4 linked regions of the Oreochromis niloticus genome follow. The protein of the gene in region 2 interacts with the protein of the main gene of each other region in a pairwise test. Links are inferred from orthologs where the notes say so. Each region holds a gene or a part of one and is shown on either strand. Other genes may lie near its edges. The genes, in order: syt16, agtrap, tbrg4 and myg1.

Evidence for each region.
Region 1: the proteins of agtrap (region 2) and syt16 interact in binary tests that used the Homo sapiens proteins (3 or more experiments, as listed by UniProt). The link is inferred for Oreochromis niloticus from reciprocal best matches to the Homo sapiens genes AGTRAP and SYT16.
Region 3: the proteins of agtrap (region 2) and tbrg4 interact in binary tests that used the Homo sapiens proteins (3 or more experiments, as listed by UniProt). The two-hybrid records come from large-scale screens. The link is inferred for Oreochromis niloticus from reciprocal best matches to the Homo sapiens genes AGTRAP and TBRG4.
Region 4: the proteins of agtrap (region 2) and myg1 interact in binary tests that used the Homo sapiens proteins (3 or more experiments, as listed by UniProt). The two-hybrid records come from large-scale screens. The link is inferred for Oreochromis niloticus from reciprocal best matches to the Homo sapiens genes AGTRAP and MYG1.

What each region holds. Positions count from the first base shown.
Region 1 is NC_031983.2:5,188,656-5,195,664, forward strand, and holds the start of syt16 (synaptotagmin-16), read left to right. Parts: upstream 1-4,002; 5' UTR 4,003-4,122; coding exon 4,123-4,135; intron 4,136-7,009. Other genes in the region: snapc1b (snRNA-activating protein complex subunit 1b), read left to right, coding at 1-63, 255-359, 694-852, 976-1,029, 1,183-1,245, 1,328-1,457, 2,219-2,290, 2,390-2,427. UniProt on the Homo sapiens protein: May be involved in the trafficking and exocytosis of secretory vesicles in non-neuronal tissues. Is Ca(2+)-independent.
Region 2 is NC_031970.2:11,712,603-11,719,849, forward strand, and holds the start of agtrap (type-1 angiotensin II receptor-associated protein), read right to left. Parts: upstream 3,001-7,247; 5' UTR 2,702-3,000; coding exon 2,675-2,701; intron 1,840-2,674; coding exon 1,805-1,839; intron 1,614-1,804; coding exon 1,505-1,613; intron 1-1,504. UniProt on the Homo sapiens protein: Appears to be a negative regulator of type-1 angiotensin II receptor-mediated signaling by regulating receptor internalization as well as mechanism of receptor desensitization such as phosphorylation.
Region 3 is NC_031976.2:19,413,204-19,420,271, forward strand, and holds the start of tbrg4 (FAST kinase domain-containing protein 4), read right to left. Parts: upstream 3,019-7,068; 5' UTR 2,866-3,018; intron 2,400-2,865; 5' UTR 2,313-2,399; coding exon 1,884-2,312; intron 1,771-1,883; coding exon 1,450-1,770; intron 785-1,449; coding exon 610-784; intron 447-609; coding exon 289-446; intron 200-288; coding exon 89-199; intron 1-88. Other genes in the region: potassium-transporting ATPase alpha chain 1, read left to right, coding at 6,126-6,131, 6,578-6,682, 6,917-6,976. UniProt on the Homo sapiens protein: Plays a role in processing of mitochondrial RNA precursors and in stabilization of a subset of mature mitochondrial RNA species, such as MT-CO1, MT-CO2, MT-CYB, MT-CO3, MT-ND3, MT-ND5 and MT-ATP8/6. May play a role in cell cycle progression.
Region 4 is NC_031970.2:5,668,012-5,675,418, forward strand, and holds the start of myg1 (MYG1 exonuclease), read right to left. Parts: upstream 3,016-7,407; 5' UTR 2,951-3,015; coding exon 2,666-2,950; intron 1,146-2,665; coding exon 1,033-1,145; intron 1-1,032. UniProt on the Homo sapiens protein: 3'-5' RNA exonuclease which cleaves in situ on specific transcripts in both nucleus and mitochondrion. Involved in regulating spatially segregated organellar RNA processing, acts as a coordinator of nucleo-mitochondrial crosstalk.

The sequences.
Region 1 (7,009 bases), on a different chromosome or scaffold from region 2:
GTCTACATACTCCAGCAGCTCATGTTCTGTAAAGCTTTCCACTTCACCGCCACACCCTCTCTGGTTAGTTTCCTGTTTAAATATTTTAAATATATTTTAAGGTGGATCTGTTTTATTTTATTTTCAGCTTCCATGATATTGTGCCCACAGCACCCTCAGAATTCTGCTCTTGGCTGACAGGAATTGTAGTCCATCCAAGGCTAGAAACATTACATCACTAGTTAGAGTAGATATATCTTCTTTCCTTCCCCCAGCTCACCTACAATAAGAAGAGGAAGGTGGAAAGGTCGCCAATGCATGAGAATTTCATGGAGCGAGTGTCCCGTCCACAAGAGCTGGTTAACATCGAGCTGCTGGAAGTAAGTCGACCCTTCCTTCCCCCTACTACCCAAACCCCACCAGATGTAGCTACACAGCAGTCAAGCTGCATCACATTTCAGGCTGCATTTCTCTGCAGAAGCATCCTGTTCTCTCTGTGACATTAAAAATACTCAACACAAAGTGATTTTAGCTGCATAGGAGGGCAGGAAAGTGAACACAGGAATGACATGGAGCATCCTTTCAGATTTCAAAATAAAAATACTGCAAGCAGACTAAACGCCTCACTTCTAAAGGCTTGTTTATTGGTGTGTGAAAAAGGGAGTAGACATCAACGACACAACATCGCAAACAGGTATCTCTGTTGTCTTGCAGGAAATGGACAACGTTCACCAGCACTATGAGAATCTGAAGGCATCCACCCTCTCTCTGACATCAGCACAGCAAGATCCGTCCGTCAGCCTGATCCGTAAAAACCTCGTCCCTCAGCTTCGCAGCACTGTGGTCGACTTCTACAATTGGCAGAAAAGGAAGGTCTGAAAACGGAGAACATATCTCCTGTTGTTACAGTTTATTTTACCATGTTGTAGCTTCACTTTTTGTGGGTTTTTTTTCTCCACATCTGATGTGATGCTGTGTCATGTTTTGTCCTGACAGGACAGTGTGGATGAAGAAGAGGACAGCAGTGAGGGACCATCATCCCAGCAGGAGGTGAGATAGCCACTTCAGTGTCTTACCTCATGTCTCTTGCAGGTTTAGGTGATGAATAACAGGAAGTCAGAAAGCTGTTGGAGTTTTCCAAAGATGCTGTAACTTTCTCCAGAGACGCCTCTGTTGATCTGCTGTCTTTGTGTGTGTCCCCAGTGCTCCAAAAGGGCAGGGCTCCTTGCTTCCATCAAATCGAAGGCGTACGGACAAGCAGCAGAGGTTTGTGTCAGTGGATACAGTCTTTACTGATTTTTATATTTATTGTGACAATTTATTATTTTATATATGTTTTTTCCCTCAGGTCTCCAAGTCAAGGCGTCATCGCCAGGTGGAAGTGGATTTCACCAGTAACGAGGCCCCCACGTTAGGTCGCTCCAGAATAACCAAGCCGTCGCTCAAAGCCAGAACCAGTGAGAATCTCCATATTTCAGGTAATCTTCCTGTAACCACTAAAAATACAACATTTCCTGATCTTAAACATTTCACACCCGTTCCTGCTTTATGTGCGATCCCAGGCCTTGGCCATGATATTGACAAACAGGAAGGACTAAGTTTGCATTAGATTTTCTAAATAAAACCCTTCAGTAAGTTGTAGGAAATTATTAGCATGCTTTACGATTCCATATTTTAACAAATAAATAAAAGCCTATTATTGCTATTCCCCTTCTGTTCTTTTTGGGCAATTTATTTACCTTTAACTTGTCCAGCAGTTGCAATAATCCCACTGCAGAAATTCATAGTCAAGTGATGTAACAACAGCATAAATGTTAAAAGAAATTAGTAATTACAGCACACATTTTTTAGCATTATAAGCTCTATATATTATCTACAGTGAAGCTGCCTCCGTACTGAAATCCATTTCCTTGTTGCACGTCTTTGAAGTTTCTGACGACTGTTCACTTTCTGTGGTCCCTGGTCACCACGTTGCTGTGGATCACTTTCATTGTGGATGTAATTAAGTCTTCCGAGGCACCGGTAAAATTAAACAGTGACACTAAAGTGCTAAAAAAACACGCAGAAACAGGCTGTATTTAATCTATAAAGCACCTCAGTTAGACTAATCACTGCACATGTATACTATGCTTTATAATTTTCACCTGCTGATTATTAAAATGTTTCCATCAGTGACAGAGAAATTCCAGAATTTTACTACATGGAAACTCTTTATGAATGAATCCTTTGTACTTCTCAGGTGACTTGTGGACGGAAGCCATGACAACCACTAAGATCAGTCGGCTTGCACAGCTCGAGTCTGCTCGTGATGGTGCGTGATTAGGCTCTTTTATATTTCATGTGTTTGCTCACTGGCCCCTGCTGTCTTTTCATTGGCTGGCTTGTGTTCTTTATGTTGTTTTTCTTGCAGATAAACCGAAACAGTACAAAAAGTTCAAGTGGTCCTGAAGAAACTGCACAACACTGGAGCTGCTGTTCAGAGCATTCACTGAAGTCTGATATGTGCTTTGCTATTATAATAAATCATGTTGACATCTTTACCTTTTTTTTTTTTATATACATGTTTTTAAATTATTTTTTAATCAGTTCATTGGTGGTTAAATTACAGTTACAGTAAATTATTGGAAACATTGTTCATAGTAAAGCTTATCGCTATGTAACTTTCTCTCTGAAGGAAACACCATCTGCTGAAGCATTTTCATGTTTTATATAAAAACTCATTTTTTACAGTTACAGTTGTCTGAATCTTTCTTGTGTAACATTCCATGTGTTTGAAAATGTGGACATCTGGTTTTCAGTAGCCTATCTTGCTGTTTAGAATAACCTCAAATGTGTCTCTTGTAATTCATTATCTTCTTTTTGCTTGATTTGTTTTTCCTCGCAGTGCTTATAATTTTTGGGAAAATGCCAAGATGTTAGTCCTTGAATTCTTTAAAACTGATAAAAACAGCTGGAGGGATGTTTGTAAATTCAATTTTAGCCTAAGCTAGTTGTTGCTATGTTAATAACTGGCTTACGTTTAGCAGCTTTAGAACTGTAAATGTACTATTTAACACTTTGTTTTCATTTTTTGACATTTTTAGTAATTAATAAATTATTTATCAATTAGTCCATTACTTAATCTATGACAGATTTTTTTAATATGACTTTTATATGCTTGAACTATACATTTTGACAAAATGAGAGCCCAGACCTCACCATTAGGCAGCAAACATCCAAGAAAGCTGTGGTGGAAAGTCTGCAATGAAGTCAGCTGTGGTCAAGCTTTTTAATTACTGCATGCAGGAGAGCAAAACAGACATCGACCATCACAGTTACACAGTCAGGAGAGCTCTGCTCTTGAGACGTTGCAGCTCCCTTTTCACACACAACTCTCTGTATCGTTTGAGTTACAATAGTTTCTTGTCTACCTGTGCTGTTGCTGGGCAGAGCGCGTTCACACTATGCTCCAGGAAGCACCCGGCACTTGCCTCCCTGGGAGTTTCATACAGTCAGCAGATAACATGGTTAAGCAAACTAAGCAGAGCATATTGACACATGCATCCTTCACCTAAGAAATAAAAGGCTATGCAAAGTTCTACAGTGAATTTGTAACCACTTCATCTAAATGTGAGAATAAAGTAGAATTTTGCCTTCACACGTCTTTAGAATGTCTCTGAAGAAGCCTGGAGAACTGTTCCTGAAGACTATTTAAAGAAATTCCAAGAAAGCTTGCATAAGGAAGCTCAGGCTGTGTTGAAGATTAAAAATTGTAACACTAAATATTGACTTTCAACCTTATTAGAACTGTACAAACTCTGCATTTTGATGTGTTTGCACAAGACTTTTACATAGTACTGACTGTATGTGTGAAACAATATTGTTAAGTCATTATAACTTACACCTATTTGCCCCCCCCAAAAAATAATAATAACCGGGACATTTTTAATTTGCAGATCACAAAATATTGAGTTGTAAAAAAAAATAATAGAATATTTAAATTGTTGAAATGTCCCACAGTCAGTGAACGCCTCACCGCTCACCGCTGTGTGACTGCAGATCTGCGGGTCTGGAGGATGAGGAGCGGCGGGGATGCTTGCTGCCCCCTCTCCTCCGATGATACATCTGATTCTGCTCGTAGTCTGAAGGGAAACAGCCTCAGCCATGGCCTCTGACAGTAAGTATACCCACCTCCTCACCGTGTGACTGCGTCTAATGTTTTTGGTTTGCTTTTTTTCTCCCTGTCTCTGCTGTTTTCAGGCTCCCCTCCTGGTTTATTTTGACTGACTGGGAGCGCCAGTACATGAAGGCCAATTTATCAATTCCTTTGATTTGCTACAGATATTTTTCATATGGAGCGAGACTGTTGCTCTTTAAGAACCTTTTTCAGTCATCATTTAAGCGAATTTAATTAATTATGTCATTCGTTCTGCTGGGGCTTACAGCAAATTTGTGATACTCCGGACAGTTAATAGTTGCCTCATCATGGCCACTTCAAGGACGCCTGTTTTGCTCGCACAGTTGGGCATAATAGCTAATTGCACATGAAGAGCATATAATATGAGAGATATTGCAATATATATCTGTAAGGACCTTGATAAAATGTAGCGGGATGTGCTGGATGTTACACGGGGTTTCCCTTTCTTCTGCCAATGGGTTTCCCAAAAGCAGAGCCTCCCTTTAGGCTGTTCTGTCAGTCAGGCGGCGCAGGTGGTGGAGACAATGATGGTTTGTCAGGTAGCGAGAGAAGTAGGTCAGAAACAGACACAGAGACCTCGTTTTGTTTCATAAATGAAAGCCAGAAACACGTGCCATATTTTACTATCTTTCATTTTAATGTAAACTGTTGCATAGAAATAGTTTGCAAGTTCAAGTTGAACTGTCGAGTTACCCTGTGTCTTTCAAGCAGAGTATTAGAACTACAGAACTACAACATGGCATATTCATACATTTATTTATTCATTCAAATAGAGAGTAACTCAACAGGTGTACATATGACACAACATGAGAGGCCTGCTCTTCAACGACTTTAAAACTGTAGCCCTTTGTATGCAGAAATATTTTGCTGTCACTATTGTTAATAATAAAAATTAATTTTGAGGAAATAGATGTTGGTGAAATGCAACAAAAATGCAAGCCATGTTAGGGTAAAGAAGAATAAAGGCTTATGTGCAGGTCGGTTAAATCATGAGACTTCAGATGCAGCTCCAAAAAGCAGATTCTGTTCATCTGGGCGTAACGTTTTCACTGGGAGTCGGGGGTTGGAGGCTGAAATATCCTGCAGCAGTAAGGCCCAATGGACATGTTAGGTGACAGGCAAAGTGTTGTTATTTTTGTTGTAGAATTTAGTTTACTGATAAAATTTTATTTAATATGTTTTAGTGTGCAGTCGATTTACTTATACAAAACAAAAAAATCATGGGCACTGATGCATGCAGGAGGACATTGCAAAGCATAAGTGTGCTTCCTCATGCTCAGGCCACATTTGCAATAGGTATTGTTAGCTCTATTTCATATTTGTCAGGAGGCTTGACTACTAAAAACAGTCCTTCTGTCAAGATTTAGAGGACGCTTACTTTGACAGAAGGAGACCAGACAGTTGCTTAAATACATGCAAGTGTGGTATGTGTGAGAGACCACAGGCAGGTTGTAATGTTAAGACTTAGTGTCTTTTTTTTAGCCTGGTGATGCTGATGTGAGTAGCCGTTGTATTAAAACCCATCCCAGATGAGAGACTGACCAATGAATGAGCTTATTTCTGCTTAAACTGGAAGTTGTCCTACATGAGCTGCCAAAAAACCTTTCACATACAGTTTACTGTGTCAGCTGTGACTGTGAGAATGAAAAATATGTTACTGAAAATGAGAAACTCATCTGTAAGTCAAGAATGATTGGGAATCAAAAAAAATCAATAGATGTGTGGAACAGCAGCTGAGCCAGAGACTTTTTGATATAGCTTATACTGGATGTTTACAGAGAATCTTAACCTGTCAGTGATGCTAAGACAAGATTCAGAACAGCATCAAAGCAATGCTCAGCATGCTCCGCAAAACAGTAGGAAGCAGTTAGCCATGCACGAGAGGCTGTTTCTGGTTATTGTGGCCTAGTTACAGACTGCTTCAATGTCTTATTCATGGCTCTCTCCTCCCCGCTGTGGAGGAGGGCTCTGAGTACTATCTAATGTTGCTGCTGCTGCTGTGTGTTTGTGTGTGTGTGTGTGAGATTAACAGTATGAGGACATTTAAACTGCCTTGAAACCCATTTTTCCCCCTTTTTTTGAGAATAAAGGCCTAATGGTGGAGTTATAGTATAGTACCCTACTAGAAAGCAGACCCACATAGTCAGTCGCTGTTGCTTTGCCTTACAGGCTTTTTGAAGTCACTAAACATTTCTCGTAAGGGTAGATATTAGTAGAAAGTAAACTGAAGCTACAGAAGGTATCGGCCACAGTCAAAGGTGTCCACAAGGGGGCACAAGAGTTCTTCTTTGGCTGTCCGGCAAACAGAAAATTTAGGTCCACTATTCTCTCTGGTTTAACTTTGTTTGGGGGGCTTATCACCCTATGATGAGCGCAGTGTTCCTCTGTGTTCAGTAGTCTGTCTTTAGCTGTCTCTGCTGCTGAGCAGGTAGTGTGTGTGGATGATTTATTGGCGCTTGTTTGCTTGCTGCAGCTCGAATGGCTAAAACCTACGACTGATGCCCACATTAACAATGAATAATGGATGAATCCTGGACTATTTTTAATTGCTGACATGCGTCCTGCTGCATCTGAGGGCTAGCAGCACCTGTCCAGTTTAACACTGAGCTCAAAGCCTGGTTAACCTGTGCGTCATGCTGTTTAGCGTTAGCGCGAGTATCAGTAAGGTAGATTAATGCATCTCTACAGTTTGTGCTCCATGTAGCAAAAAGGAAAAAGCTTTGTTTTTATATGTCTTATAATACTTGTGTCTGATACCAGAGCGTACTTCTTTGGCCACTTCAAAAAACATTTTTTAATAACATCTACACTGCATCATGGACCTCTCTTGCATTATCAGTTAATCCATTTTAA
Region 2 (7,247 bases):
TGAATTTACTTAAGGCACCTGAGAAAAATGCTGCCAGGACTTCACCATACTGGAAAAGCTATACAATGGACTATATTACCTGCAGTTGATTGGCTGAGTGTTTGATCTAAGTTAAAATACCACTCAGTGCTAAGGAATCCTCCTTATCAATTACTTGTGCACCAGTCTTCTTGATAGGTCTTGGACATGAGTGAATATGACATTGGACTTTAATGTACACAAGGTAAAAGGCTCCCCTGTGGTTACATCCCAGGGTCTATAATTCCCACAGGTTCAGTACAGTGACAGAGTCCAGTACTGTCAAACTGTCAAACCAAAACCATTACTGTCAAAATTGTCAAAGAATAACAAACTGAAAAGCTAGTTTTTGCTCAAGATTCATCCCTTCATTGTAAACACCCAAAGCCTGAAGCCTTCAAAGGTGGACTTTAAGTTAAATATTATGCATCAGCATAAATGTATTTATGCAGTGAACACACAACTAAAATGTTCTGGGGCTGAAAAATGAAATCAGAGCTGAAGCTGAAGCACCAAAAGCTGCAGCCCCTGAGGTTGGCTTCACAGGCCACTCAGTTCCCATGCTAAAATGTCCAACGTTACAGCAGAAATGCATAAGCTGGCAGCTGGAAACTTTCTGACATCTGGTGTTGCTTAGTGTTCAGTCATACAAAAACACACTTGAGCAATATGCTATCGACTATCTCCGTTAAGAAAATGTTAATTTTAAGCCTGTTTTGTTGCAAGTCAGAATAAGCATCCCATTTAATATTACGCTTTATGGATGCACCTTGCTAACCAAACTAGCTAGCAATAGCTGGCAACGCCTCCTCACTGCCTGCTCATGTTAATTTGGTCAGATCTGACTTAAGATAGAAAAAAAAAATGAACACAGCCAAGGCCAGAAAGTGAAACTCAATCCAAAACTAAAGCCTTTAAAAACCACAACCCATTGTGGCCGTTTTCTACAGTCTATGAGAAGGGCTCAGTTCTTTTGCTGACCCACAGTCAGGATGAGGTACTAAATAGTTTTCTCTAACAGTCGAGAACAGCCAACTGCACCCATCTTTTCCTATCTGATAAAAGCTGTTCTTGCTTCAGAACACAATCAAAAAACAATTCTCAAGTCACACGTTTTTTTTTGTTTTTTTCCCCCTTAGTCAGCTGATGTCACTAATGTACAATGGAAACATCAGTCACGGGTTCAGAGTTACGGTATGATGAGGGTTAACATAAAACTGGTTAGTGTATAAGCAATTCTGAAACTTGGGTCAAACATTTAAAATAAAATGGCTCCTTAAGCAAATGTAAACCGTCTGAGGTCCTCAGCTACTGTACTGTGTGCTGAATTAAGGGAAGGCTATTTTTTAAAGGGATGCTCACAGAATGCCCTAGATTCCACAGACAAATAGGTTAGCACAGATATGCAGCACTGCGCCTAAAGTTGGACTACTTTATGTGTCACATGATGCCATAAGATCGCATGAAAAAGTGAAGGCAGACTCACCATGATCACTGCATCTACTGAGTCCCTCTGTGCAATCGCCCACACTCCAACTGCTAAAACACTAAGGTTCGCCAATGTGAAGGCCACTGGCGGCCACACCATACTCCCCCTGAAGGAAACACACAATTCATACGAGACAGATTCTTACACACTCCAGGAGAGTTACGTGCAGTTTCACAGAGGACGAGACATGTAGGTGAAAGAGTTGACCTGAATCAGGAGTATAAGCATGTGTCTGTGTGCCAAAAGAGGAGAGAAATTCCTCAGGTTTGTGGAAAAAAAGCCTGTGCTCATACTCACCAGACTGTAAGAAGCCAGTGCACCAGTACGATGGCCTGGAATAGAGAAGGACAAAAATGTGTTTACACTGAACTATCTATCACTCACACACCAGTTAAAAGCTTCAGATCATCAGCTAATCTATAGCAATGATTTCTTCTTTTTATTTAGCCCTCTAAGAAGACTGAAGTCATTGTTTTCAGCCCTGCCAAACTGCATTTTTTTTATACATATGATTTTCTTCAATTCTGTGAAACAAAGTAAAATTAATTGATTTGGAAAAAATGAATGAATGACTGAATCTTTTCTGCCGTTTTGAATACACTGCACGAATATAAAAAAATACACGATATTACACAAAACAGGATATTAGTTAGTGTTAGTGTCCTTCAAGCCTACTTTTGACATCACAGGTTTTATAATCCTTGAAAGAGCTGTCCAAAATTACATTTGAACCATTTTATTCTGTGGACAGAGCACAATGACACTTTTGTCCCTGTTCAGTTTCACAGTTAATCAAAGGCATCAGTTTATAATTTAATATTCCCTCCAAATTCACTGCATATGAGTTTTTAAAGTGTTTGCCAAAATACAGCGTTAGTGAAAATAAATGTTTATATGTTTAAATATTGACCTCTGTCAAAAGGCCTGCTGCCACTCACTCAAAAATGTCCTTCAGGGACCTTATCCCCTGAACATTACCTTAAACACTTCTTACTTAATAGCAAAAAGTAGAGCAGCAGTTTACTGTGATCTGAGTCACAAGCAGAGGAAGGTAGTTGCCACACAGAGGAATTACCACTGAGGAACAGAGCTGACATTTCATTGAAAACCAGCGTTTGTTTGAGCGTACAAGCCGAGGCAATCAGAAACGCAGCAAGTAAACCTCACCTTTAGATTTATGGCAGGGATTTCCATAATTGTCTGTTTGGACAAAGCAGCTCCTCCTTGATCCGATTCGGCGTTTCAACTTGTTAAAGAGCTACATGAAAAAGTACCGCAGTTTCTCTTCTTACACAAACTTCTGTCCAAACCCCTCCTCCCGTCGGCTCAGCCTTGCAAACACAAGCCATGTGACAGCAACCTGACTCGTTCCCATGTGACTCCTGCCCCTCTCACCCTCTCACCCCTTCCCCCAGCCCCTGGGGTGCGGTCCAATTGGCAAATTTGCTTAGGAAGGTTACTAACTAACTGAAGAGACCCGGAAATATGTGTGCGGCAGTCAGCCGCTTCCGTGCTTCTTGGATCACTTCCTTAAGCAGAACTTGAATTTAATAATTTAATAATAACTGTATATATTCTCTCTATATATTGAAATGACATTTCACTCGTGTTTTTAGTTTATATTCCCCGCATGGTAAACAGCATGGTAAAACCTATTAGGGTGAGGTAAGATGGGCATTCTGTAGTCCGTTTTCTGGACTTTGTAGTTTCAATACAGCAGACTTCCACATATTCCAGAGAACCTTGAAAAAAGAACTTTTCTTTGTGAGTTCCTGCCTCTTTGGGGCTAAAAGAGTACGGAGCCCCGCAGGGGACATGGGAGAAAAAAAAATTAAGACGGACTTTTGCGAGATCTCGCAAAACAAACTCGGGAGATCTCGCAAAAGTTCATCGTAATTTCTTTTTCTCCCATGTCCCCTGCGGGGCTCCGTAAAAAGAGGCCACCCAAACACACGAGATTTCAATTGAAAGTCCAGAATTTTCTTTATTACATCTTAGTAGAGTAGCTCAAATAAGTCAAAAGATATGGACCAAAAACTATTCTATTACACATTCTCGGGAGGATATAACTGTACTCAGATTCGCATCACACCCCTGTTCAGTTTTCCTAAGTGGCCTATCTAAAAGTATATTAATATTTAAAAAAAATCTGTGAAGTTTTCACTGCTGACAGAAAAAAATACAAGATTAATATTAAAAAAATTAAACGAGTAAAATTTTATTTAAGAGTTATTATTATTCTGTCAACTAAATATAAAGTGTGGTGATAGAGGTTGACTACCCAAGCACCCTGGGCTCCAAATAGTGAAGCTCTCTGATGCCTCTTTCATCCCTTACAAATGAGGCAAAGTGGCTTAGTCCACCCACTCTTGCAGATGCATTCACAGCACAGCTAATTTATTGTATTTTAGTAACTGCTAATCCACATCCCGAATCATGTCTTTACCCAGGTAAGGATAGAAAAAGGAAAAATATAAAAGAAATGCTTGGAGAACAAAGGTCAATGGAGGACAGCTAACAAGTTAAAAATGGTTTAGCTATCAGCGGTTGCTAAAGACAGAGAGCCATTGTCAGATGTGACACACTATTAAGTTTACTCAGCACGACTAAACAGCATGAAATGGATGGGCCTTAATATCAGAAACAGCCAGAGAGAGTGAACCAGCAGCCTCTCCAAAGAGGAACTCAATAAGTTTATTTCAGTCACTTGTATTCAAAGCAGTTTCAACAGAACATCAACAACGCTAATGTCAAGCAGCATTAAGCTTTATTGTAGGTTGGACCAGCTGTGACGTAATCGATGCACATTTTGAGGAAGCCTGTGTGTTTACAGCTCATGAAACAGAATACCACAATGACACTGCTTATTAAAAAAAGGAGTTTGGTAGTCACGTATATGCTGATAGATGTGTTTATTATTGTTTGCTACTTCTAATGAAACACTGTCAGGCAGCACATCAACATATCAGCATACACTCTTGCAGACGTTTTCATGCATTATTAAATCATCCAGTATCCACAAGACCATTAGACTGTCATAAAACTTTTGTGTTTGATAACATCAAAGGAGCACTAACAGACAGTAGTGTGAAAATGACTTTTAAAGGAAGTTGTGACTGAAGGAGTACTTTGAGCATTAGTTGCTACTTGCAGCAGATGGTGATGCCTGTTGTTTAAATAGATACTGGTACAATATATCCCCCCCCCCAAAAAAAACAACCTATAGCTACGTCACTGAGTTCTTAGTAAACACTTTTCTGATGATAATTGAGTCTTAATGAATACAACATGTGGACTCAATTCACAAGGATTTTCTTATTGCTAAATCAGATTTCAAAGTAGGCTAAAACTTTATTTAGTTCAACAACTGGAGGGAGAACACATGGAAATTTGGTATGGATTTATGGATCCCAGATTCCTGAAGACGTTTGGTGAAGTCCAATTAAATCACAGTCCGGTCAAAAGATCTTGCAGGTGCATTCCTATATTACCTTACACAGCTGGTGTGGAAAACGTTTTTCTTGTCTTTCAGTCCATAAGTATAGTTTTTAACAAAAACATATGTAATAGCCATAATCATATATCACCACAGAAACACTTACAGCATATAAAATATGTATAAGCAGTCTCGTCTGTCATCACACTGCCAAACGTACAGCTCCAGTGGATGAAAGCCAGGAGGTGCAGATGCTGTGACAGGCTGGCAACCTGTCAAGGGTTTACCCTGCCTCTTGCCCTCTGCCAGCTGTGATAGGCTCCACCCGCCATGACGGAAGAGAATCAGTGGATGGAGGTGCTGCTGAAAGCTGTAGAAATCATTCAAAACTGTGCTTGTCTGATTATTATATTATTTCAAAGGGTGAGAGCTCCTTGCCCTATGGGTCTTACTATTCTAAATGACCAGAATCATGAAGTATGTATCACTCGTTCCTTACGTGACTGCCATTTGCCTTCCTCACCGATGCCTGTGTGACATTATGTCCCTGGACTTTAGCACATTTAACCTTTGAGCTCGCTGTAAGTCACTGTGGATGAGAGCAGCTGCCGAACTTTTAAAATGTTAATATGAGATTCACTCTCTGTGATTTCTGTTCTGCAGTCTGACTCAGTCTTTGGCACTTCTGTGCCCTTTTCACTGAAGCGAGATTCATGGCCCAGTGTTGGCATATGGTCTCTGCACTATCCAGCATTAACCCTGACCCCACATGTGACCTCTGACCCCACATGTGACCTCTGACCCCTGTGGCAACACACAAATGAATTTTTCTCTTTGACTGAAAGATTAATTCTTTAAAAGCCTCCATAATTAAATGTAGCAGCCTTAACGTGCTGTCCTGAATGTGCTCGTGTATACATGTGTGTGAAAATGAGACTGCAGTGGGATAAACACACAAATGTTACACTTTGTAGTTTAACATCACAACTTTGTCCAGACAGATTCAGCACTCACAAAAAAACTAATATTTGAACTGAGCACAAATAATTTCTTTGATGTTTTGACAAGTGGAGGCAGATTTCGGACTAGCCCCATGTGACTTCTTTTCATTTCTTGCTCATCTATGTGCTCTAAGAAGTAACCTGATTTGGAAAAGTTCCCTTAAAATAGACACTGTGGGGGTTAATTAATTCAAGAAAGGTAAACATGCATTTGTTGTAGCTGCAGCCCTACTGGGATGTGGCTGTGTGTAATCTATCTTTTCTCTGGCTGTTGGCGAGGTTTCAACAGGGCACTCTACCAGAGCACTCTGACATAGGTAAATATAAAAAATACATGACTGTTGCTTTTATTTTGTGCCTGTAAATCAGGATAGCACGATCGTAGTTCAACTGAGATGGTGCTTAGGAAAGAAAAATCTGTGTTACTTTCTTCATCTAATGAAATATTGATATGGATAGATTTGCAGAGGCTTTGTGTAATTTGAACTGAATGTAATTTCTTGCACTTGCTCTAATGTGTCGTAAGCTTTGTGTTAAAGCATTCTGAGACTTAAGTGTAGCTGGCAGATTATCTTATTACATGAAGATAGATGGTGCTTCTTTCGTCCCTCAAAAATCTCCATATTAAGGAAAATGCTCTCTTTGAAACAGGCTTACATTACAAAGTGTATCGATCAAAGAGAGCCATTTAGTCTTCATCTTCATAAAGATTTTATCTTTTTTCCTTAAAACTCTGATATAAGATAATGAAAGAAAGGGACTAGTTAACTAACTTCTGGCCCAGTGGTGGAAGGGGATTAATTACATATTCTGAGCAACCCTGTTTCCAAGAAAGTTTAAAATATAAATAGGAGAAGGGGGATTTAAAAAAAACAAAAAACAAACAAAAACGAAGCCAAACATATGCTTAATTTGACTTTGATGCCAGAAACACTTAAGCATGATTCCCACTGCGCGTTGCATCACCTCTCCATTTAACAACACGCTCTAAGTGTTTCAGAACCGAGGGCATTACTTGCTGTGGTTTCTAAAGCTTTCTGGATACTGGACTTCAGCTGCTTGAGGGCAAAACTCAACATCACAGCCGTTGGTTTTCAGCCTTGTCCCTTGCATACAAAGATTTATCCCAATTTAATGATACTGAGCACTGAAGATGATGAAGATTTCACCTTCTTTTTGTGTTTTTACACTGAGAAATGTTATTCTTAAACTATTAAATGACTTGCCTCTTCCACAGAATGATGAACCACCCTCCAGTACCCCCACTATCTTTTGTTCCAGAAGCCTATTTATAATAGAATAC
Region 3 (7,068 bases), on a different chromosome or scaffold from region 2:
TTAATCAAAATGCCACAGAGAGCATTCGTTTTAGTTAGGAAGCAGAACGAAATGTGCACAATCAAGCAAAAGCCTTTAATGACAGCACCTTGTTAAAGAACTCGTCTCCTTTGCTGGGCTGAAAGCCCAGTCTGGCGAACGTCATGAGCAGATTACACAGCTGAGGAGTACTATACTTGTCGCTGTTTGCTGTGTAGTGCTGATAAAACAAAATGTACAGAGAGAGAATTTAAGATCACAGATGCACAACGTTTTGAAAATGACTTTTATCAGGGGAAGATTACTCACCTCAGCAAAGGCTTCAAAGAGAGGGATATGGAGCCATTTGAGAAAACCAAGTGACTTAGCACAGCGTGTGATGTCACCAGAACTGAGCTCAGGGACTCTGGGTAACAACTCTGAGGCCATTCGCTGAAATACCTGAGAATGGTGGAAACTCAGCTTCCCTAAAAGCAATGATAAAGGTTCTGTTGTTGGCAGCACAGAGTGTGTGAGCAGACAGTCATATAGAAAAAACACAACCAAACCTCATTCATCAGGTTTATCAAACCTAATATAAAGACTTGTGATGATAACACATACATAGCCTATTATTTATGGTGTTATTACCGTATGCAAAGGCCATGTCCATTATCAAAGGTGTGGTGAACTCTGCCGAGGGTTTCTGGAGAAGGTGGTAGGACAGAGCCCTGAGAAGTGGGACACTTCTGCGCCTCTGAGCTGCCAAAGATACACAGACTTTGCGAATATCCTCTCCTGAAAAGCCCTCTGCAAGCTCCAAAGCCTAAAAGTGGAGAAAGAGGATCCTTCATATGATTTCAATATATGTCAAGTCAAATCAATTTATTCATATAGCACATTAAACGCAACCAGCTGCACAGCAACTAAAATTAACAAAGAAACAATACAAGTAATTCAAGAAGAATAAAAACAATAATAATAATGATTAGGGAATGGAGCAATAATATAAAAATGATAATAGTAAGTTAGATGAAAACAGTAAAATAATACTAGAAGAAATGCACAGAGGAAAATGACAGTAAGGTGAGGCAAAATATATTAACATATCCCACGTTATATTTATACTCCAAAAGAAGTTAAATGAAAGAAGAAGATAGAAAATCTCTGTACAGAGTTTTATTTATATGGACACCGTGTCTAACTATAAGTAACTTTCACTCTGCTGCCACTACAGACACAATCATTTTTATATTTTGTATTCAACACATTAATATTTCAACTTTTTCTATAATATGATGTATAAAATTTCACACATGCTTTCTCCATTTAGCAATCTCATGGGATTGCATGCAAATGACTTTAACCCAGTTAGAAGGGCCAAACTTTTAAACACATAAATCTGCCTAAAACACTGACAATAAAAGTTGAAACTTCAAAACTGGAACTTTAACCATGTTTTAAAGGTAAACGTTGTTTGAAGTGTGATACCTTGTCCTCCAGTCTGTCCATCAAGCTTGGCGACATGTGTTCTCCTTTGGATATCAGCGCACTGACAGTTTTCACATCAGCAATCTCAGTCCAGCGCAGCTCAAGTTGTTTAAGCGTAGCGTTCACTAGTTCCACATCCTGCTGACCTTTCCTGCCTGCTCCCCAGTCTACCAAGTAGCCCAGCTGTCTGTACGTCAGCCTTCGAATTCTCCACAGGACTTCTGTCTGGACAGAACTGAGCACCAGATCGCCGGGGGAAACGCCCATAATCCAGAGAGTTCGCAAGACAGACACTAGACTGCTGTTCCACACAGAAGACACCTAGAATGCACAAAGACACATGAGATGTTTATCTCAACAGACAAGCTTAAAATCCTTTTGAGTTTGATAACTTTAATAGATGAGGGCAGAGCTAGTACACCTCACTCATGTACCTGCCGAGATAAAGTATTCATCATATCCAGGAGCCTTGAATCCGTCATCAGCTCTGGTTGTTGTTCCTTAAACTTCCCCTTCGTTTTTAGTACCAGCTGGGCCCACTTCATGAGGGCGGTGGCAGCTTGATTACCATTACCTCCATACTTTTCCCAAGCAGACAGGATGTCCTCTGGCACTGTTGCCTTGTCCACCGATTCGTCCAGCTGTGTGCGAGTAGGGCTCACTGAATAGTGGTCTTCTTTGGTAACTGCTGTTCTTTCACACATTGACCTCTCTGTGAGCCATGGCCAGCCCTTGGCTCTTTGAAACTCTGCAGGCCCAGCAGCAGATAGAGGTAGGCGAGCAGCAGCAGCAGCAGCAGCTGAGGCCTGAGAGGAGGATCTGCAGAGCAGACGGGCACATCTGCCCAGGAGGCGGCCAGCCATGGAGTCTGAGAGACAGAGAGTGGCTACAGACAGGAAAGAAGGGCTTTCTTACAGCTCAGCAGCTGCTGTCACCATCCCACTTTAAACCTGAGGGGGCAGTAGAGAATTCAACATTAAGTGTGGCTATAAGAAAAGGGTCGCCTTTTCAATCTCACTACAAGTTAACACATCTTCAAGTCCGCCAAATGCTTTAGCCATGTTTCATCTTCTACTTGTGATACAGATTTCCTGAACAGTGTCGCTAATGGTGATAAAAGTGGTTGTATAACCAGTGGTACGCACTTTCTGTTCGTCAATAATGCATCTAAAGCTAGCTCTGCAGTACATGCTATTGTAACGCGGATTAAAATCCCTCTTCTGTACACGGAACCCCGCAGCCAGAGAGAATACGCTGGTCTTGTCATGTAACGTTGAATCCTGACCTTGTAGAGAGGAAGAGGCGCAGTGAAACGCCGGTCTTCCATCTACCTCCCCTCATAATACTCGTGTCTGTGCCTCGGAGAGCAGACTCACTGCACAGTTTCACCGGCTACCCAAATAACCAAAGGCTTACCTTTAATTTACGATCATTTTGGCGAAAGTTGTTCACATGGAAAGTGTCTAGGAGAGATGGTCGCAGAAAATTGACGTCGTCGGACACTGTCACGTGATCCGCGGATGTCGCTGTCATTGGCTGGAAATGTTTCGAGTCGCCCGACAAGAATCGAGAGTCCAGGTCGCGTTCAATAGCGCAAAACGTGTGTTTGACTTTAGTGTTGGACAAAAACCAGCCTTGTATTTAAATCTGTTTATTTTATAATGTAATCCATTTCTATATAAACCAAATCCAAACGTTCACCGGTTCATGAATGAAATGAAGCTCACATTCTGGGCAAATCTGTCTTATCTGCAAGCTACTTAGCCTAGCTTACCGTCACAGTTGGTGTGAACGCTCTCATCACACTTGACAGGAGAAAGCACTGTGCAAAACTCTTGAACCACCCATTGCATTACTTTTTATATGTTGCTTACATATTTTTTTTCTTGAGCAATAGTTCTCCAGATTTTCTGAGGGTCAGTCATTCTTTGGACATTGGCTGCTTTTTCATTCATTTTCAGCACTGTCCTTGTACCTGGCCTTTTTCACGGGAATTTGGCTTTCTCTTTTTCTTCTTCTTCTTTTTTTTGTTTTTGATCAGCTACTTAACAACCAATGAATCATTCAAAAAGGGGTGAACCAGTGCTGTGTCTACACCTAGCAGACAACTTAGCAAAGAACCAATTTTAAATTCTATCTTTAGGCACTTTGTTATAGCAGAATGCCACAAAAACCCATCACTAGTTTCCATTTCATTTTCTATATTATTGTAGGTTTGACAGGCAGAGTGATTTCCAAAGAGCTACAGCAAAAACAAAAACTTAAGGAAACCAGACCGGCGGAGGCAGGGCTGGGCTGTCTGAATGTGCCATACCTGGATTTAATGGGCCAATGGAAAGTCTAATGAAAGTGGTGAAAAGGTGGAGTTGAAAAGCTGAGAGAGAGAGAAAAAACAAACAAACAAACACACACACACACACAGTACCAGCAAAATCTACTAACCAGCCCTCGCTTGTTACAACTAGTTACAAACCTTTAAGGAAGGGAGAAGTTCAAGGGTTCAGGCAAAATTAATGGCTACTCGACCAGTGAATGGCCACTGCTTATAGTACCAACTGACTAAAACTTGTGTCAGTATCAATAATAAATATATACTGAGTAATCATGGTGAGCCACCTCGACTAAGAGTTCAGCCCTGGATGGAGGAAAAAAGAATAAGTAGCAGCCCAAAACACTATTTACAACAGATGAATAGTATCTGAAAGTCATGTTCTCATGAAATTGGAAACAATTAAGCAAAGTCCTGATACAGAACATGAGATATGCATCTGGATCTTTATTCTACCCATCTACTGTTTGCTAAAGCCTAATCAGAAATGGTCTCAGTGGAAGGTTGGCTGTAATGAAGACATGCTTAAGGAAGGGAAACAGGGAGAAAAGGCTGATATATGTCAAATTACACAAAAACTGAACAAAAATCAGTGGCGAGAGGTCTGATGGAGCAATGATTAAAAATTTGAAATTTCAAGCCGTTGTCATTATCTATAAACGAGGAAGGGACAGTGGTACAACAATGAGTGTCTGCAGACATCTGTAAAAACACAGCGGAGGCTCTGTCATGTTTGGGGCTGCAGATGACAATCTGAGCAGAGAGTTTCCTCTCACCTATCACCCTCCAGCACTGCATGCTTAGAACTGATAAAAATACTTTGATTATCTAACCACTGTTAGACTATTATACAGCGTGGTATAATATTGACTCCCTTAAACACAGCTTATCGTACCTGCTATTTATCTTTTTATTTACGCAGCATGCAAAGAGTTCTACGTAGGAACAGGTAAGGGACAGTATGACCTTAACTCTGTTTGGTACATGACCACAGGCTATTGTAGTTAAAATATATATAGATACATAAATCAACTCTGAACTGGCCATTTATTATTTTCAAATGCCCTTAAAGGCGTTCGTTCACTTGTTGTAGTAACTTTGCATATAACAGAATTTTAAAACACCATATATACATCACATGCATATTTGAATGGGTTCTTTACCTATTTGGCAAAGCACAATAAACTTACACATATATGTGATCTAGCGCTCATGATTTGTTTGGTTTTACCATTCATTTTTAGTGCTGTGATGCAGCTGTAGGGATCACAAACAAACATAAATGGCAACCACTTTCCACACCTGTGGACAGACAGGAGTGCATTAATCACATGTGGCGGTAGTGAGGGGTTAATGCTGTTAACGGAGGGGGATATGGGCTTAGACCGATCGAGCATGAGCTGTCACAGTGCCAGTCTCTGTGACACTCAACTTGCAGCGGGAGGCAAGCGACATCAGTGAACACGCCAACACCATTAACCTTCCTCTGTGGTCGAGGTAACCTGCTCCAGCACCGCGGATAAGCTGAGATTGGCAGCAGGTGTGACAGCTGATTAACCCCAGCTGCAGGCAATTTTCCCTCTGATGTTTCTGTTTGTATTTTGCTTTGTGGAGCTGCAGGCCGTCATTGGCTGTCTGGTCCTGTGGCACAGCTGTTAGGCTGTGAATTTTAGTTATGTCTGTTTTTTCACGTCTTTGCCATTAGAACTACATTTTGTTATATACTTATATAATTAGTAATAATCAGTTAATAATTTTCAAAAATTCAGCCAATTAGATATTAGATCAGATCAGATTTATCTGAATCTATCAATGTAAAGTGGATTGTTGTTCAGCACTGGGAGGAAGTGGGTGCACTGCAATGTTAAGATTATGTGGTTAGAATGACATTGGTTTCTTTTAACCTTCACTGTTCTTTGCTTTTAATTTCATTCAGTTTATCAGGAAAAACATGCTAAGGTTAGATAAGAGATACACAATACAGTTTCACTCATATCATAAGCTAGTGTGTGTGTCTGTGTGTGTGTGTGTGTTCTGTGTAACCTGACTAGAGGTGACATTTTACGCAGGCTGCTTGATAAACACGAGTCTGTTTCCAGCAGTGTGAGTGCGCATGTGCAAATTAAAAGGACTTTTTGAGGTATAAAAACCTTTCCCAGAAAATTTGTTGTGTCTCAGACCATTGTGTGTGTGTGTATGATCGCGTGTGTGTGAGAGAGAGAGAGTGAGAAACAGGGTGCGTGTTCAGGACTGTACCTTAAGTGACAAAATTTCGGGGACAAAGAAGGACCGAGTGGTGTGGACCTCCATTGATTTGGGAGCACCTTCCCCTGTCACACCTGCAACCATGAAGGTAGGTGACGCAGAATATTCTGAATTAAGTGTGAAAAAGAGCAGCAGGTAGATCTATTAAAGAATAAAATTGGTCTATTTAGTCATTTCTGGTATATTTATAAATGGGTTCTAAGGAGTTTATATGCTTAAAGATGTCTATAAACAACTGTGCAGTATACAGAAATGGCTCAGTTGAAAATAGCAATGTATAATTTCAGGTATATACATAAATAAATATGTATTATTTATCTAATTGTACAGTTTATCTGTGGGTTTCGTAATCAGGTGGTAAAAAATATTAATTTAACATAAACCTCATTTAATAACAGTTTAATGTTAGCAATACAAATAGGTCACATTGAAGGGTACTGTGTATACCAAATGTATGAAATTATTTTGTTTTGGTCTCTTCACCATCAAAAATATATGGACTTAAGTATTGTTTCCATATCTACCTGCATTCAGGACTCATACGACATGTTTGAAATGAATGGCGAGATGGACAAGAAGAAGAAGAAAAAGATGAAGAAAAAGGAAAAGCTGGAGGGCATGAAGAAAGAAATGGATATAGTGAGTGATTTTAAGAAAGCTGTTCTTTTATCACCTTTAATCATATAGAATGGATTGGGCGTTACTTGATTAAAGGTCCTATGACTTTCCACGTGACTTTTATGACTTATTCCAGCTGCTGTTGAGATCTGACCAAAATGCATCGATTCAGATATGAGTACATAACCTTAGCTCGCTCCTATCTCCCCTTTGGAAGATTTCTGAATCTGTAATTTTGTCTGTCTCCTTCTGCAGGATGACCATGAAATAACAATTGAAGAGCTTGAAATGAGGTACACCACCAGTGTCGATAAAGTAAGACATTTCTCATCTTTTATTTCAGTCTTGTTTTCACTCTTGTTTATTTATTATTTATTATGCAACATTAAACAAGACAAAGGCGGTTC
Region 4 (7,407 bases), about 6.0 Mb from region 2:
TCACTAACCGCCTGCGAGGAAGAGAGCCCTGGCATATCTTTATCGCAGTGGTCATAAAAGCTATGGCTGATTATCATCAGGACATTAAGCTGACAAGACACCTGGAATAGGCTGATTACTCAACGTGATGAGACGTCGAGTGAATGCAATCATCAGGAAGAAATTCTACACAAAAAACAGAGCCTGTTACTTTATGATTCATGCAATCAGGGTGCTTCAAAGATGTCAGAGCAGAAGCCACCCAGAAATGTAGTTCCTCATCATTAGAGCTCAGATAATGAAAAGAAATCCCAAAGGCTGTACGTTGACGATGTTAAAGCGGGAAAAATCCAGGCGTAATAATTCCAATAAATTATTTTGGCTTGCTGGAGATGGTGCACCTCAGTGCTTGGAAGTGACTGGAGACTTTAAAGATTACGCTTCCTTCCATTGGTACATACGTATATTAGAGTCTGGCCGATATAGGATTGTTAAGTCTGATACCAATATTTGGCAATTTCAAAATCCAATAATCTGATATGTCAGCCGTTTTTACTTTTAGAAAAATAAAACCTAAACAGAGTGGCCGACAGGGAAATAGAGTTTTCCCTCTGTTGGAAAAACTATGTAACATCAACACTCATAACATGGCTGAGTGGTGTTTCTCCTGTATCTTCTTTACCTTTTAAAACTTTCTTTTATTGATCCTTAAAACTACCGATACAGACAGAAAACATGAATAGCTCATTTTGGCCGATATCGTCACACCACTAATCTGATTGGGCCATAATGTTTCTAACAACATTTGTTTATGTAATAAAATGCAACACCGAGTTTTTTTCAGCACTTGGGACTAAACAAGAGTTTAATCTTAAACTTGAAATGCAATTTTTCAGCTGGCATAAAATTAATCTGTGATATGATCCTGACCCTTACTGTTGATGAACAGTGAAGATTAATCTCTCCCCCAGTCTTAGTTCAGAGTACATAATATTTTAGAAATCTACAGCTATAAATTTCTCTCTTTTCAGCAGCTTACTGCCAGAACTGCACCTCTGATGGTGGTCATAGCGGTGCCTCTTTGGGTCAAACTCTCCCCCAACGTCCACAACAATGTCACACTCCGCCAGCTGTGCAGGGTCCCTGGTGCGAACGATTTCTCCATCCTGTGCAACAAACAGAAAGAAATATATGTCAAAATAAATTAATAATAATAATTATTTTATTATTTGTTTACTTGTATAACACTTTACTTTCCAGAAACACAGGATAAAAAAAACAAACTAGCATGAAATTAAAAAGAAATTACAAATAAATAAATATTAAGGCATATAAGACTCGAAATGTAATGAAAAACGTCAAATTAGCAAATCTAAAAGAACAGGATGATAAAAGAATATCGAAAGAAAAACATACACAATCTCATTTTATATCAAATTTATTTTTTAAAAACAAGGATTTAAAAGAAGACACTAATGAAGACAGAGAGCAGAAGATACTGTCATTCAACAACTAAAGAGACCAAAGAGCAAACCCTCGATCACCTTTAGTCTTCAAATGTGAGGTGGGAACAGTTAACACGTTTCTGCCTGAGCATCTGAGGCTGCTTGGTGTTTGGTACGGGAACAGTAGTTTTAGTATATATTCTGGGCCCAGGTCATTAAGGGCTTTAAAAGTAATGACTATAATCTGAAAATCAGTTCTAGAAGTAATGGCCTGCCAATGTAGAGTCATTAAGAGTGGCGTAATATGTTCAGTGTTCCTGGTTCTTCTAAGAAGTCAGGCTGCTGCATTTTTCACCATCTGAAGTTGATTTAATGCTTTCTGATTGATACCTGTTAAAAGACCATTACAACAATCTCATCAGAGGGAAAAGAAAAAAAACACATGAAAAATTAGACCATAGAAGCCCAGCACTGTGTTTGGAGGTCCAACCTTTAAGCTTTGACTGTATAAAGTATATGTCAATTCAGATATGTCATCAAAATGTTTCTGTTAAACTACGCATAAATCACAGACGTGCAGAGGTAATCAAATATGGTATTTATGTTACTAATATAAATTATAAAAATTACAAATATAAACAATACAGTGCCACAAAACAACGGTACAGCTACGACAGGTTATAACCTGGGTTTGGTCACAGATTTTATTAGGGCAGTGCAGCAAATCTCTGATCAGTATTGTATCTGATCAATATTATTTTATCACCCATATTAAGTATTGTACCATTTAGAGACAAAAGGTGCCATTAGGTTGAGATTAACTATTATTTAAAAAATTCACTCAAATGCTCTGCAAAGCTGGCTATACACACACACAAAAACTGTATTTTCAGTTTCAGACCATAACACTGAAATGTGTGACATATTCACCATACAACGGCTTATGCTGTAATCGTTTTTGCTATCCGTTTACACACAGCGCCCCCTTTTGGTGTGTTTTTTTTTTTTTTTTTTTTTTTGCATAACACTGGACCCGTCAACAGAAGATTACAAGATTAATTGTTTTTTCCTAAAATGCAGATGTGGCTTTATCCTTACGGTGAGGACTTCCTGGGAGGATTTAAATTCTACCTAGCTAGTAACGATGAGCACAGTGATTACATTAAAAAATTAAACGCACAGCATGGAGTTAGCAATAACCCCAAACATGTTTCCATCAATCTGCAGCGTGCTGCACCCACCGAGTACTCGGGTAGCTGCCGGAGGAAGAAACAAGCCAGAACCTCGTCGCAGTGGAAGGTCCCGTTGTGGGTTCCGATCTTTGTAACGGTCATGTTTTCGGTGCAGAGTCTCTTCGGCTCACTTGACATGTAGCGCGTTTCTCCTTTAGCAAAGTGCACGGGCGAACTAAAGCAGCTAAACCGCGAGAATACCTTTCGTGACACACTTGCTGCTTCACTCGTTACCAGAAAATATCTATTTTTTGTTAATTTAAGCGCCAACGAAAAAACACGCACGACCAACATTCAAAGAGTAATCCACGAGACGCGCCAGTGGCGGACACATTTGACAGCCGGACCGGATGTGGTGCTCCTGTTTAGAGAACTAAAAATGCCGGGTAACATTTTTGTTGTTGTCACCATTGTTACCGTTGTGTTGTTTGCCTTTATGGGCTTAAATTACTCACGCAGACAGTGATAAACAACACAGGTGACAACAACACAGGTAATCAGAGCGATTATATTATCGGAGAAGCTCGTTTACAGGAGAATGATAACTCAACTTGTGTACAGCAGAGGACGCTGCAGGGTTAAAAAAAAAAAAAAAAAAGCAGGACTTGGACACTGTATAATGCACAAATGGTTAATTATGTACTACTGTACATGATTTATTTTATTAAAAAATATATTCTACAATTACATAATAATAAAAAATAATTATGTTAAATTTACAAGGATTCACTGTTTCGTATTCTCATACAAAATAGATTTTTGTCAATGAGAGAGGCAAGAAAAGATACAAGGAGGTGAAGTGAAGGTGGAATAGTTTAAATGCCTGAGGTCAACTATCAAAAGCAGGGGACAGTACACAAGAAAGGTGAAGCAGAGAGTGCAGGCAGGGTGGAGAGGGTGTAGAGTCAGGGGTGATTTGTGAGAGAAGGATGGTAGCAAGATTTAAAGGAAAAGTTTACAAGATTGTAATGAGATGTGCTGTGATGTATGGATAGAGAAGGTGGCAGTGACAAAATGACAAGAGGCAGAGATGAAGACTTTCAGGCCTATAGTGTGAGGTAGTGCAATAAATAAATAAAAATAATCTCATATCTATTTTTAATGTTTAGCACTATTTGATATATACAGCAGTGATGAAAATAAAAAAAAATGAAGTTAAAGAAAAATGTAAAAGAAATGAGACAGAGATTGTGCAAAAGAGTAGGGAAATGGCATTAGAAAATAATAACATGCACACTTTAAATCTAAGAAACAGAAGCAAGAAGGTAAAATACAGAAATGTGATGGGGCTGAGGTTGAGCATCTTGGACACAAAGTTACTGAGGCAAGACTGAGACTGTTTGGACATGTACAGAAGAGGGATAGTTTACACTATTCAGTGGATCCTGAAGATGGATATGTAGGCAGGAGGAAAACAGGTTGAACGCAGAGAAGGTTCATAGATGTAGCGAAGGAAGACATGCTGAGATGAGATGAGCAGCCGATAGAACAAGAAGATCAAATAAAAAGCAACACAGACACTGTGACAGGCTGTGCATTTTTTGTCTGTGAAGACGTTGTATCTCTCATTCAAGAGGAATCTTCAGTTCTACAACTGATGGAGACTCCAGGTTTAACACCTAGCTGGGTTATCCCATAGGATCTCCTCCAGGTTGACGCCTCCACTATGTATTAAATACTTGGGACTCTCCATCAGTTATTTTAAAACTGAAAAAACCTCTTGGATGAGGTGAAAGTCCATTTGTCTTATTTTCAGCCATTCACAGCTTTGTGCATTTTTAGTGCAACCTGAGATCTTGGTGGTTACAAACCTTTTTGTTTTTTTTCCTTTCACAGTTATTTAGGCCACTGTTCCTGCTGGGATGACACAAGAAAAGGTTTTCTACCCTTTGCCCCGCACACTTCGCCACACTTTCATTAGAGTAGATAAAGTCATCTTTGGAGATTGATGGCTTAGTGTTTGTCCTGAGAAAAGCTCATGGGTGTGTGTCTTTCTAAATTACATCCAATCACTGTCCAGTTTCCATCTCAAGGATAATGTCAACAAAAAAGATGCACACAACAGAAGAGTCTCATCACAGTAAAAAGGTTAGTGCATTAGACATGTGCATATGAATAAATACATATAAATATAAATGCATATAAACATTTTCCTGGTCAGCTTTGTTCTACACTGTTTTACACCTTGAGGCGCAACGAACTGTTGTTCCTTTTTAAATGAAATCTACAATACAGTGACAGGTTTTTAATATGAATGGACACGTGCATAAATATTATTGAAACCTTGAGTTATTGCCTTGGACTGTTTTTCCTGCCATGCTGGAATTGGGATGGGATCATTAGTGAGGGTCAGGATCAGCGCTCACCCCCAACTCTCGTTCTCGCGGTATTACCTTCAAGGTTTATTGACAAGGTAATTAGCCAGATGGGACCCCAGTAGTAGCAGCAGGGCTGAACGGAGGTAGCACGGTTAAAGGGCTTTCCCGTGTGAAAAACCGCTGCTCTTTCCTGCTTTACAAACCGATCTACCAGCGGAAACCAAACAGCAAGCCTGCAAAAGGTAGGATTTTGTATTAGCGTTATGAATGCACAGCCTGCTTCCTGCAGAGCCTCATTCATTCTCTCGATGTTGGTAATATATTCTTCCTGTCCAGTTTTAATGATCGCATGCAAATGTATCACTGGCATCAATTCATACTGCAGCTGCTTAGCAATGCAGATGTTCCCTTAATATGGGGACAATGAGTCATGAAGTCTGACACATTTAAAACGGTAAATACAGTCAGAGAATATTTGCTGCGATGTTTGTCTGAGGTCGAACCACCAGGTGGCGCTGTGTCCCAGTCATTTAACCAAGTTGCTTCATCGTCTGTGTCACCAGTTCAGCGGGCACGTTGGCAAGTCTTTATTTCAGCCTAATGAAATCGATAAACATTGACTTGGAGTGGGGGAGTCCACAGAGAGGCCGGTGTAGGGTTTCTCCTGTAAAGGGACTTAAGCAGTCGACGCCCACACTCCATCATTCTATGTATTTCCTCTGAAGCCCCAATGTTATTCCTCAAAATACACAACTTGTATTTTATGGAAGACTAAGGGGGATTTTTTTAAGTGTCCCGCAGAAACGGAGCTCTACTCGGAGAGATTTAAAGGATATGAGACAAACAGAAAACAAACAAACAAACGTCGTGCTCACCTCCAAATCATTAAACAGCCATACTATTAATAGAACTCAAGCACTCGCAATTGCATATATAATACTATATTATATGCTGTTAAAGCTTTATTAAATATGCTATATGTGTGGTACTAAAAATGAATGAATGAAATAATGGGTGAAAGAACATGGTTAATGTAAGAAGTTATGCCTATCAGTCTGTTTTAAAGGTGGGGAAAAAACCAGTCCGATCCTTTATGTTCTCATTTCAGGGAAAAGCACAGTGATCAAAAGGTTAAATGAGTGTATTTCTGGGATCAGGAAAATGTATAGAAATAACATTTTGGCATTTACCATCCTATGCCAAGGAGACATTCAGCTGTTTCAGTTTAAATGGAAAAATAAAACGTCCAATTGTCCATCCATCCATAGTCATAGGGCAAAAGGCAGGGTAAACCCTGGGCAGGATATCACAAGGCTAAACATTTACAATGAATTTAGTTATTTTGTTGTGTTTTTGTTTTGTTTTTACCTGTGAACATTTAAGCATCGTCTTATTTCTGTCCATGCTGCCAGGTATACTGAGTGTATTTGGTGCATTATTGCTTTTGGACTTTGTAGCCTCTAAACAGTACCATGGACAGCTCACTCCTGACCTAACTGGTGAGTCCTTCTCCATCTTAGTTTTATGGGACTCCTTTTTTTCAGTTAAGTTAGTGATTCTTAATACAGCTAATATGTGAGTTGGTCAAGTAGGTAATTACCATAACCTGTGTACCTGTGTATTTGGTGACTGCTGCATTATCATGCTGAAAAATGGAAAAACGTCCCATCTGAAGTAGAGTTTTTTAGGTCTGCCACTTCTTCATTGTCCTCTTCTTGGCCAGGTTCCTCAAATTTTTTAAGAACACACTGCACCTCATGCTCAGATACACCAGGTTTTCTGCAAGATCACATAAGAGCGCTTTGGGAATCACCTTGTTGCAAAAATATGATTTCATGCCTGTCAAACGTGTCATCTTTCTATAGTGTCATAAATTCGACTAAAGCAAGAGGAACAAACTGTGTCTTTGTTACAGGCTGTTAGTAACCGAGTGCCTAATAATACAATTTAAAATTGGTTCTTTGCCAAGTTGTCTGTTATGTGTAGATAAAACAGTGGTTCATCAATTGTCTTAAGTGCATTTTTATGCTTTAGTGATTTGTATTATGGGATTTAACAAACAAACAAGCAAAAAGATGAAAATGATCAAGAACAAGGACTGGACTGAAAATGAGTGAAAAAGCAGTCAGTGTCCATCCAAAGAAAAACTTTGAAAGGCTTCAGAAAGACTTAAAAACCTATGATCAAGACCACTTTAAAAAATACAAACAAGTCTGGTGCAAAATGCAAAATATAAGAGAAAGTATAAATGTGTGTAGTGCTGTACTTTGTAGCAAAATTAATATTAATGGATTTTTTTTAAAAAAAACTTTTGCAAGAACTCCTTTTTTGGCAAAATGTAATGAGTTCCAAAGTTATTTTTTCAGAACAAACGTGGTGAGAAGAAACAGTAACTACTGAGGACATACAATTAAAGCAGATATGGGTTTTTTT